Lonchura striata: one gene and its partners. The protein of the gene in region 1 purifies or fractionates together with the protein of each later gene. This does not show direct contact. Links are inferred from orthologs where the notes say so. Each region holds a gene or a part of one and is shown on either strand. Other genes may lie near its edges. The genes, in order: PTPN3, VANGL2 and VANGL1.

Region 1 (3,743 bases):
TGCCACGGGATTGCTCGGCCATTGAAGTCCTCTGCTTCAGTTAATTAGCGCTGCAGAAAGGCTCAGCTAATTAGCATGGGTGTAGAGTTGCCCTGACACAGTTACTTCGCTCGCAGAGCCTGAGCCGATGCCTCGGGCACGGCGGTGCAGCGCAGAGCCCGGCGGGGAGCGGGGACGCGAGGGAAGCAGGAGGCTCCACACGCATCCCCACACCTTGGCCCGCTCGCCGCGCCCCGCCGGCGGCCAGACCTGCTCTCCTCCGGCGGGGAGAGGCGATCGGGCGGGCTGTGCCACCCGCTGCGGGCTGTGGCGACACTTCGCACCTCCTGTGCCGGCCCCGCTCTGCCCCAGGCGATGGCACGAGGGACACGCGGTTCCTCGTCGCCTGGCAGGGTCCGCCAGCCGGCGGTGTGCCCAGCTGGTGTCAGCCTCTGGAGCCGGCCCCCAGAGCTGCTTGTGCCGCGCTGCCAGCGGGCACAGCCGGGAGGAGCTGCGGGCAGGGAGGGACCCGGGCGGGACCGCGGCCGCCACGGCCGTGCGGAACAGGTGACGGCGGGGCAGTCCCCGCCAGGGCTGCCGCGGGGCGAGGGAAGGAGGCGAGGGAACAGCTCCAGCCCCGCCATCCGCGGTGACCCCGCTCCCGTTCCCCCTGCGGAAGGGCGGAAAGCGCCGAAGGGCTTCCAGCGGAGCCGGGCTTGGGCAGCGGCGGGGCGGGCCGGGAGCTGGGCCGGGCCCGGCCGCTCGCTCCCTCCGCTAGGGGGCGGGCGCGGGCGGCGGGCGCTCCTCGGCGCCCCGCCCCGCCCCGCCCTGCCCGCCCAGCCCAGGAGCCGGAGCCGGAGCCGGCGGCGGGAGCGGCTCCGCGGTGCCCGCTCCGCACCTGCTCTCCTCGGTCCGCACGGTGGCGGCGGCCGCGACGGCCGTGACGGCCTTCTGCGCCCCCTGGGGCAGCGGGGTGGCGGCGGCGGCGCGGGGCGGCGCGGCAGGTACCGGGCGAGGCGGCGGGAGCGGCGCGGGGCGCGGGGAAAGTTGGCGCCGCCGGGGCGCCTCCGGGAGGCGGGGGCGGCGGTGCCGCCGGGGCCGCCCCCGCGCCTCCTCCTCTTTCTCCTCCTCCTCCTCCTCCTGCACCTCGGCGGGGCGGTGAGTGCCCGGCCGGGCGGCTGGCCCCGCGCCGGTGCTTGGCTGTCCGCCGGCCCCGCGGGAGAGCGGGGGCGAGCGCTGCTCCCGGCGGCTGGCGCAGGGGAAAGCGAGCGGGAAGGTGCGCGGCCGTGCCGGGCTGGGTGTCAGCTCCCCCCCGACCGAGCCGTGCCGAGCCGAGCCGTGCCCTCGGGGGGCGGCGCTGCTCCGCTCCGCGCGTCCCTCCGTTTTCTGTTCCGCTCCGCGCCTTGTGTGTCTAGCACCGGCCACCGGAGGAGGGCACGGGGAGCGTCCCGTCCCGTCCCCGGGCTTTCCCCCCGCTCGCCTTTGCTGCCTGTTAATATAGGGCGAGTTTGGCTTCTTCTCTATTCCCGGCTTTTTTCCCCCACATCGTTGGCGGAGCACCCGTTTTCAGAGTATTCTCGAGCCCCGAGTGCCTCGGGCGTGTTTAGGAGAGAGACGAGCGCTGCGGGCGCAGAGCAGCCCTGCCCGTGCCCCCGACCGGACGGGTCTGCCGGGGGATAAGAATCCCAAAGCCCGGAGATACAGTACCACGACTAGTTAGCAGCAGCTGCCCCACCACAAAGGCTGCCGGTGCTCCACAGCGGTTACTTTTCAGCGTTTTGGGTGCTGACTTGCCCTGTGGAGATACAAAAATATCCAATATATCTAAGAAATATATAATATATCCATGTATGTCAAGTGTGACGACTATTTGCCTCATTGGTGTTACGGAACAGATGAAACAGCAGTAAAATTGGATACTTCTTTTAATATAGAATTCTCATTCATCTTGCAGCACTTCTTGTTTCCTCTCTTGAATGAACTTATCCAAAGTAATTAGCCAGTCTCTCCTTCTGTTGCTCCTTGCTTTCCTCTCTTTCAAAGATACAGTTGGGATTTTTTTGTCCTCCCTGCTAGGATGATCGCTTCCCTTGTGGTGCTCTTCAGCCTATCACAAATTGCTACTGCTCTAATACCTATGTAACAGAAAGCAGAACAAGTTAGTTCTTTAATGCTATTGAATATTGGTACTGCTACTCTGTTAGTCACAAACTGTCTTTCTAGTAGAAATACATATATTACTGAAGTATTAATTTTGCAGAGCATTGCATTGAAGGATTATTTATAAAATAATGAATGTAGATGTGTGGAATACTTACTCAGCTTTGGAGGGCAGCTGCACTCTCACTTGTTTAGAAACAAAATTTTTCTGAAACTAGTTGTACAAGAAGCAAGTTGTCCCTATTACCTGAGTGGGTTTGATCATAAGGGAAACAGTCAACAAACAGAACTGTGGGGAAGAAGAGTCTCCTCAGTCACCTCAGTTACTTATCTAAAAAGGCTTGCTTGCCAGTGCAACACAAATGCTAAATTTTTATGATGGTGATATTCTCTGGTATTGTCCTGTGGCAAAAATGTCTTGATAGGTTGGTGACAAATACTTAATACATTTTTGTTCTCTAGTTCATAAGAAAAAATGTAATACTCCACATAATTCTAAGTACACTTAATAGAACAGCCCTCATTTGAAGGACCAACTTGTGATGATAAGATCAATTTTGTTTCATTAAGCACCCTAATATTGCTGGCAGTGGATTCTTGGAAGAATTCTTTAACACTTGTCATCTCTCTCTCTGACTTAATAAGCATTTCTAATCCTTCCACATCAACTTTTTACGTATTCTAAGATGGGGACAGTTCATTATTTTAAGACATAAATTTAAGTAATATCACAGTTACATGCTGTACTTTGCAATACTTAACTCTCCACCTTCATGCTTTCAAAATATTTTCAGTACAAATTAAGATGCTGATAAAACTATTAAGTGATATGCTATTAAATTGCAAAGCTCCATAACTGCTTCTTAATTCATCATTTTGTATTATTGGTGTAATATACTTAAAGCAGAAGCAACAGAAAAGTAGTAATAAAAAAGCTAGCGGTAGTATAATTTTCTTCTTGAAGATGAAGATTATCTTGATTATCTTCTATGTTCATGAGTTACCATGTAATAAAGCATGTTTTCATCCAATCCAGGAGTCTAAAATATCAGCTGATTTCTAAAGATCTTGGGTGGACTGTTTTTTTAGTAGTCAGTATTATAGCAGAGACAGTTGTGCATAGTTTTCTAAGCTTGACCTACTTTTTACACTGATGGGTAAATGATAGCTTTACATAGGCACTGAAGGAGTAATCTTACATAGGTATAACACCGAAAGTCTTATGCACAGAAGTCATTAATGTTAAAATTCTCCAAGGTGGACTAAATACCGGTACAGTGAGCAGTTCTTCTGTTTTGTCACTTCATTCACAAATAATATTTGCCATGCTGGCATCTATGCATAGGGGTATTTGTTCATTAAAACTCAACCAGTTAAAAGTAAAGTGTAGTTAAGTGGCGATGAGGACCACAGTTACCAATCTCTTTGTTCTAAATGTGATAAATGTTAATTGTTAGTTTTATAGAAGCCTTGTGGTGTGGGTTTGATTTTAATTGTTGGGTTTCTTTTTCTTTGTTTGTTTGTTTGACTGAGAAACACATTCTCTAAGCTTCATGACTATGAACTTGAGAATTGATTTCTGTCAGGGGCAACACTGCTCATCT
Region 2 (3,743 bases), on another chromosome or scaffold:
CAGATCCCAAATCCCCCTGATCCCACTTTTCTCTGGGATCACCCCCCAGGTCCCTCAGGATCCTCCGTTCCCTTTTCCAGCGGCTCCAGCCCCGTTCCCATCCATGGAATTTCCCACTTCCCTTCCCAGCCCCTTTTTCCATGAGGATCCAAACCTGGAAAACCGAATTCCAGAGCTGGAATCCCAAATTCCCAGCAAAAAAATTCCTGGGGATTCTGGAATTCCCACCGCACATCTCTAAATTCCCCCATCCCAAATTCCTGGGGAGCGCTCAGGATTCCCTGGAGAAATCCCAAATCCAAGCTCTCCGTCCCTTCCAACAATCCCAAGGACGCCCCAAAGCCGCTTCCAGGTGGCTCCACAGGATTTGGGAAGGACGATCCCAGAAATCCACGTCCTCGCTCGGAATTCCGATGTTTTCTCCAGGAGAAACCCCAAAACCCCAATTCCTGCCCCGAAAGGACACCCGGCTCGCCCAGGACTGGGGCTGTGGATCCGTGAGAACTCTTCTCCAGCAGCTGCCGATCCTTTGGGATGCTCCCAATCCAATATCCACGTCCAGGATCCCGGAGAAGCGGCCGGGACGGGATCCGGGCGGGATCGAGGAACGCTGCCGATGTTTTCATCCAGTCCCGGGATCCGCAGGGAACTCCTTGGATTTGGGGCGGTGCTGGCCGGAATTCCGAGCCGGGAATTCCCAAATCCCTTCCCAGGATCTTCTTCCCGAGCATCCCGGGCCGGACAATAAATCCACAAAAGCTCCGCTTGGAAAAACGATCCCAAATCCCGAATGAAGCCGGATCCCTCGGGCCCCATTGTCTGCCGGCAGCCGGGGAAAACAAGGAACTTCCCATGGGATCATTCCCAAGGCTGGGATGTCCCCGGCCCCTCTGGAATTCCGGGCGGGGGACACGGGGTGACCTCACCCCGGAGCGGCCGCCCCCAGGTCCCCCTCTCCGGCCGCCGCCTGTTAATTGTTGATTGTTCATTAATTAAATCATCCCAGCTTCACAAAGCCCCTGGAAAATCCTCGGGATCCCGTCTGACTCCCAGCCCCATCCTCGGATTTCTGGGATGGAGAAAATCTTCTTTTCCAGGAGATCCGAATTATTCCCAAATCTCCTTTTTTGTGTGTGTGCGTGTGTTTTGATTTCTTTTTGTTGTTCTGTTGCGTTTTCACCTCCGCCCGCGGCGGGGGAAAAGGATCCCAAAGGAAAAAAATCATCCCAGGCCGGGCTCCTCCCGGGAACTCCCGGCGGCTCCGCCAGGAACCGGCTCGGGATCCAGGAACCGGCTCGGGATCCAGGAACCGGCTCGGGATCCAGGAACCGGCTCGGGATCCAGGAACCGGCTCGGGATCCAGGAACCGGCTCGGGATCCAGGAACCGGCTCGGGATCCGGCCCGGGCTGTCCCGGAGCCGGGGGCACCGGGCGCGCCCGGCCCACGGACCCCCGGGCACCGGGCAGGGCCGGGGGGCACCGGGAGAGAGGGGGACACGGGACACGGGGGACATGGGACACGGGACACGGGGACACGGGACACGGGGCACGGGGGGGACACGGGACACGGGGACACGGGACACGGGACACGGGGACACGGGACACGGGGCACGGGGGGGACACGGGACACGGGGACACGGGACACGGGACACGGGGACACGGGACACGGGACACGGGGACACGGGGACAGCGGGGACACGGGGGACATGGGGGGACACGGGGAGAGAGGGGGACACGGGACACGGGACACGGGGAGAGAGGGGGACACGGGGACAGCGGGGACACGGGGAGAGAGGGGGACACGGGACACGGGACACGGGACACGGGGGACACGGGGACACGGGGGACACCCCGCCCCAGGGACCCCCGGGACGGCCCCGCCGCGCCCGGACACCGGCGAGGGGATGGGGACAGCGGGGACAGCGCGGGGGACACCGGGGACACCCTGAGGGTGACGGGGGGGACACAGTGGGGACACCGGGGACACCCTGATGGGGACGGGAACACCGGGGACACCGCGGAGACACCCCAGGGACATCCCGAGGGTGCCGGGGACACCGGGGAACACCCCGGACACATCCCGAGGGTGCCGGGGACACCGGGGAACACCCCGGACACATCCCGAGGGTGCCGGGGACACCGGGGAACACCCCGGACACATCCCGAGGGTGCCGGGGACACCGGGGAACACCCCGGGCACACCCCGAGGGTGCCGGGGACACCGGGGGACACCCTGGGGACATCCCGAGGGTGCCGGGGACACCGGGGGACACCCCGGGGACATCCCGAGGGTGCCGGGGACACCGGGGGACACCCCGCAGGTGCCCCGGGATGGGCTCAAAGCGCTCCGAGGCCGCCGCCGCCGCCGCCGGGGGGGATTCGGGGGTCCCGGGGGTCGCATCGCGCCCCGAGGAGGCTCCGGCGGAGCCCCGCAGCCCCTCGGGGTCCCGGGGAGGTGCCGGGGGGGGGTCCCGGGGGTCCCACCGCCCCCTCCCCAGCCGGGACCCCCGGCCCAGCGCCGGGCTCGGGGCTCCCGCAGCCGCCGCCGGCCCGGGCAGAGCGGCGGTGCCGGGGCCCTTCCCGCAGGGAGCGCGCCCGGCGCGGCCCCGGCGCGGCCCCGGGGCCGGTTCGGCATCCCGGGATCGCCCCGGCAGCGGCCCCAGCCCCCCGGTGCCCCCGCACTCACCATCGCCGCCGCACCTTTGTGCGCGTCCCCCCCGCACCGAAACCCCGGCGGCGGCGGCGGCGGCGGCGGCGGCGGAGGAGGAGGAGGAGGAGGAGGAGGAGGAGGAGGAGGAGGAGGAGGAAGAGGAGGAGGAGGCGGAGGAAAGCCCGGCTCCCCCGGACCCCCCCGAGCCCGGCCCCGGCCCCGCCGCTCCCGCCCATTGTCTGCGCTGCGCGCTCCCGGCGCCGCCGCGGGGCCATTGTTTGGGGCGGGGGGACACCCGGGGACCCCCGAACCCCGCGGACCCCCCCCCCGACAGCCAGAGACCCCCCCCCAGCCGGGGGGATTCGGGGTGAGGATGCGCTTTTTTGGGGGAGGGGGCGCTTTTTGAGGAGAGCCCCCCCATTTTTGGGCGCACGGGGCGTTTTTTGGGGAAGAATCCCCCGGTTTTTTTGGGGTTTTTTTGGGGGGGGGGCAGTGAGGGTTGAGCCCCACCTCGTGTCCCCCCCCCCGGCCCCGCATGGGCTCCCAAAAGGTCTCGGGACCACAAAGGGTTCTCAGCCCCCCAAAATTGCCCCCAGGGGGTCTCAGCCCCCCAAAATTGCCCCCAGGGGGTCTCAGCCCAGGGGGGCGGGGCACAGCCCAGCTGCTCCCACCTTGTTTTGGGGTGTGGGGAAGGATTCTGGACCCCATAAACCCCCCCGAAATAAGATGGGGTCCGGGTCCTGCACCCGGCCGGGTTTGGGGTGTCCTGGGGGGGGGGTCTGGCCGAACCCCCCGGGTTTGGGGTCACCCCCAGCCCCAGCGGTTCCGGGGTGCGTGGGAGCGGCTGGAAGACCCCAGCCCCATCCCTGCGCAAATGGGGGGGACCCCCGGCCCGCAGGAGAGCCAGGGCGGTGGGAGGGAGTTTTTGGGGGGCGCTGAGGGCCAGCAGCACCCCTCGAGCCAGAAGAGGTCTCTGGGGACACACGGGGGGCTCCAGGCCTTCATCTCCCCAGAGGGAGGGACCCCAAATCCCCCCGAGCCCCCCAAAGCCGCCCCACGGCGTGCGGAGCGCGGGGGGGGGCGCGGCCGCTGC
Region 3 (3,743 bases), on another chromosome or scaffold:
GGAATCTGGGAGGTCTAGATTTTCTTCATACATTCCAAGTTGCTAGCCCATTGTATGTCCCGAAAACATAAATATTTTTAAAGGGTAAGACAAACCAAAGGTGAAATGAAATAGGAGCAACATTTACATGTAGAAAAACTGGCCTGTGCTTACATGGGACTCTCCTGTTTCTTTCCCACCTGCCCAGAGCAAGTGGTGCCAGGAATTTGGTGCCCAAGGCAAACTTCAGGCAAACAAGGCCCTTCTCCCTGGGCGGCAGGAGGTGCTTCCTCATGGCAGTCCTCTTGTGACCAGGGGCAAAGGGCGCTGCGGCTGCAGCCTTTGGGTGGAGGAGCAGACCAAGCCGTCCCAAAAGCCAGGCATTAGAGTGCCTGGCAATACACTTAGCCTCGGAGGAAACCCAAGGCCACCGTAACCTGGGATGGGATAGCTCCAAGGGACTGAGTATCTTTCTCTTGGAGGAGAAGGTGACGGCACGGGACAGACGAGGAGCATGGCTGGGTGGAGGAGAGCTGCGGAGCCTTGGAAGAGGTGCGGGGCTCATGGGCTGGAGCAAGGCGGGCGGCGATGGAGAAAGCGGCAGGAGATGTGAAGGAGCGTGTGTACGCCCGAGGTGCAGAGGAGGCTGAACTACGGGGAGAGGTCCAAGCGTCAAATCACGCCTGGGGGGCTGAGTGGCGGGTCCCGCCGCACACCCCCCAGGTGCGCCGCAACCCCGGCTCCGGGGGCATTTAGGCGCCGGAGTCGCAGCGACGGCAGCGGCCTCCCGGGCCGGCGAGCCTCGCCCGTGGGCGGTGGCTCCGGCGGGGGAGGGACGGGTGCGGGGCGGTGCCGGGCACAGGAAGCGGAAAGCGGCAGCAGCGACGGCGGCCGCCGCCGGGGAAGGTGGCGGGGAGCGGCGCGGCGGCGGAGGTCGGGTGGGTGCCGGCGGCAGCATGGGACGGCCGCGGGAGGGAGGTGAGTCCGTCCGTCTGCCCGTCTGTCCGTGCGGGGGGCGATGCCGCTGCCCCGCCACGCCCTCCCGCCGCCGGGACCCCGGTGCCGGGGCGGCGGGAGCGGCAGGGTGGCAGCCTCCGGCTGCCGTGCCCGGCCGGGCGGTGCGAGCCCGCCGCGTCCCGCCGCCCTGCCCGGCGCTTTCCGGGCTGCGCGCTGGTTCCTGTGCCTGGGCGGGGGCCTCCCTCCTGCCCGCCGTGAGGCTGCTGGGGCTGCGGGTCTACGATCTCGGCATCCCGGTGCCGGCACGCTCGGTGCCGGCAGGGCCGCGGGCGCAGCCCCGCACGGCGAGCAGCGCTCTGCTGCCGAGCCTCGCCTTGCAAGGAGCCCGTGCGCTGTTGGTGCGAGAGGCTCCGCGCTGGTGTGAGCGCTCTGCTGGTGGTGCCTTGCTGCCCACGCCGTGTAAAACAGACTGCTCTGTGTTTGGGCTCATCCCGCTGGGCAGCACGGGACGGGGAGCAGAAGTGACGGGAAGGAGAGCCGCTGCGAAATAGCGCGGGGGGGTTGGGTTTTTGATTCAGAAGGTTGTCAGGGTGGTTAACTAACTCTCATGCCGAGGGTTGAACTCTTTGAATTGCAATCAGTGAAAGCATGAGTGACTTGATGGCAGCGTTTTCGATCTGAGGAGGCAGGTGGGCGATTCTGTGACTGTTTAGAGCAGTGGGACTTTTTTGACCCTGGATTTGTCAGTAATGAACTGCCCACAAGATCTGTGCGGCTATAAAGAGTTAAGAAGTGGAGTCACGCTGGCTGGAAGTGCAAATTAGGATGTTACGAAGTATGTTCTGTGATATCATTGCCTGTGAGCTCAGCCTGACTTCGAGGAGGAGAGTTGTGGAGAAGGTGCTTCAGCAGTGCTTTGCTACCTTTGAAAAGCTTCGTTTTGACCATGCTTGGCTCTTTTCCCCCACTGGGGTTTGGCTATTTAGCTGGCCACAGCTTTGAGGCTAATGTTGGCTCTGTGATCACAACACAGAGTTGTTAATTTTGAAAAATAAATATGAATGGTGTCTTGTAGAAAGCCTCTTTTAAAAATGCTCCCTGTAGCTCGAATTCTGGAATAATCCCTGGCTGTACTGGAACCAGTCAGGCAAATATCTAACTGCTCCCAGCCACTCACCAGCAGCTCACAGTGGTTGCTTCTGACCTTTTGGTTTTGGTTAGTAGTGGCAGTTGTTCCTGATGGCTGCTGTCTCATGGATATGCGCATCTGGAGAGGGCTTCCTGTCATTGTGAGACTGGGATGCAGTACTAGGGCAACACCACCGAATGACTGCAGTTATTGTACTAGCAGAACTGCATGTTGTGTTGTTGTAGCTTGCCTTCCTTACCCCCTCACCTCTTGCAACCAAAGCAAAGGATGGTATCAGAAACGTGACTTTGCTGCTGCAGGGTTTGTGCTGCTGTGTGGGGACCTGAGGAGCAGACCTGAGTGGGGAGCTGTGATGTCCAGTTCTGCTGGTGGGAAACAGTAAGCTCATGTTTCTCCACGGTACGGTCTGGTACTGTTCGCTTGGAAGAAGAAAATGAACCCGTGTAAAAACTACTTTAGTACTTCTTTTAATTTCTCATTAGCCTGTATGTCAGAATTTCCTGACTTGGGTCAAATTAAAAATCAATGGCTATTTTCTCAGGGGTCAACACCTTTGCCCTCTCTCCTTGCAAGGCCAGAATGGCATTGAACTTGTAAAGATTTGAGCATGAGGGTGATATAGAGAGACTCCATTCTGTAGAGTCCCACTGTGCTGTGTCCTGGGGATTTTCTCAGGGTCTGTAGACTTCTTTTTTGTTCTAAATTTAAATGGAAAATGCTGGCAGATATGAAGTGTCCTAAAGGCGGGGGTGCTCTTTCAGTAGAGAAACCTTTTGCAGTTCATACCTTTTAATGCTAACTCAGTATCTAAGTGCTATGGCTAAAAGCAAATATTGAAAATGAGGTACAGGTGCTGCCTGCTGGGATAGGCAGTCAGTGGCATCTTGTGAGACACTTTTCCCCATTTGTTTTGTTTTAATGTCAATATGGAAAACTGTATTCCTGTGCACAGTCCCAGGTGCTCTGGTGTCCTGAGGTTGAGGACATGCCTTATGTCATGTTGCATGGCTCTGGAGTTAAGAGGAGCACTGGAAGGTCTTACAGCACAGAACAGACCCATGAGTGAGGAAGGACAAGCTTTCACTAGTCTGAGAGCATGGCACTGAGGTGTAGTTTGCATGATAGTCTCAAGTGCTCATTGTGCTTCAGAAACTTGGACAGCACAGGTGTGGCTCTTGGAGTGGGCAAAGGACATCCCTCCAGGGAAGTGCTTCACAGAGAGAGCTTCCAGCTGTGCAACAGGGACAAGAGGCTGGGGGTTACTGCTTGGAAGCTCTGCTCACTTGAGTGGTGGTTTTGCCTGGGTATTTCTCTTGTCAGTTGCTGTTGCATGTTCTGATTAAACAGTGAATTGCTTCAATAAACACAAGTAGGTTTTTTTTCTGAAATATCCATGTTGTGGACTAATGGTTTTCAGTTTTTGGGCTGGAAATTCCAGGGGATCTGTGAAATCTTTCTGAGGACCTTCTGAGAAGCAAAAGAGAACCTATTGCTAGAGAGCTTGTATTTGCTGACTACTAAATGGGTTTTTTTAGAATGAGTGGCTTGCAAATCAAGAGCCTCCACCATAGAGTAAAAGCCCTGGCTTAGTTATATATATTTTTGAAGGCCAAAATTGACCTTATTTAATGACATGCAAAAAAAAAAAAAAAATATT

Evidence for each region.
Region 2: the proteins of PTPN3 (region 1) and VANGL2 purify together in Homo sapiens (affinity purification with mass spectrometry; 3 studies listed by BioGRID and IntAct, with this or other methods). This does not show direct contact. The link is inferred for Lonchura striata from reciprocal best matches to the Homo sapiens genes PTPN3 and VANGL2.
Region 3: the proteins of PTPN3 (region 1) and VANGL1 purify together in Homo sapiens (affinity purification with mass spectrometry; 4 studies listed by BioGRID and IntAct, with this or other methods). This does not show direct contact. The link is inferred for Lonchura striata from reciprocal best matches to the Homo sapiens genes PTPN3 and VANGL1.

Annotation. Positions count from the first base shown.
Region 1 is NC_134603.1:65,421,915-65,425,657, forward strand, and holds the start of PTPN3 (tyrosine-protein phosphatase non-receptor type 3), read left to right. Parts: upstream 1-902; 5' UTR 903-983; intron 984-3,743.
Region 2 is NC_134635.1:3,628,876-3,632,618, reverse strand, and holds the start of VANGL2 (vang-like protein 2), read right to left. Parts: upstream 2,778-3,743; 5' UTR 2,687-2,777; intron 1-2,686. UniProt on the Homo sapiens protein: Involved in the control of early morphogenesis and patterning of both axial midline structures and the development of neural plate. Plays a role in the regulation of planar cell polarity, particularly in the orientation of stereociliary bundles in the cochlea.
Region 3 is NC_134604.1:26,912,220-26,915,962, forward strand, and holds the start of VANGL1 (vang-like protein 1), read left to right. Parts: upstream 1-846; 5' UTR 847-957; intron 958-3,743.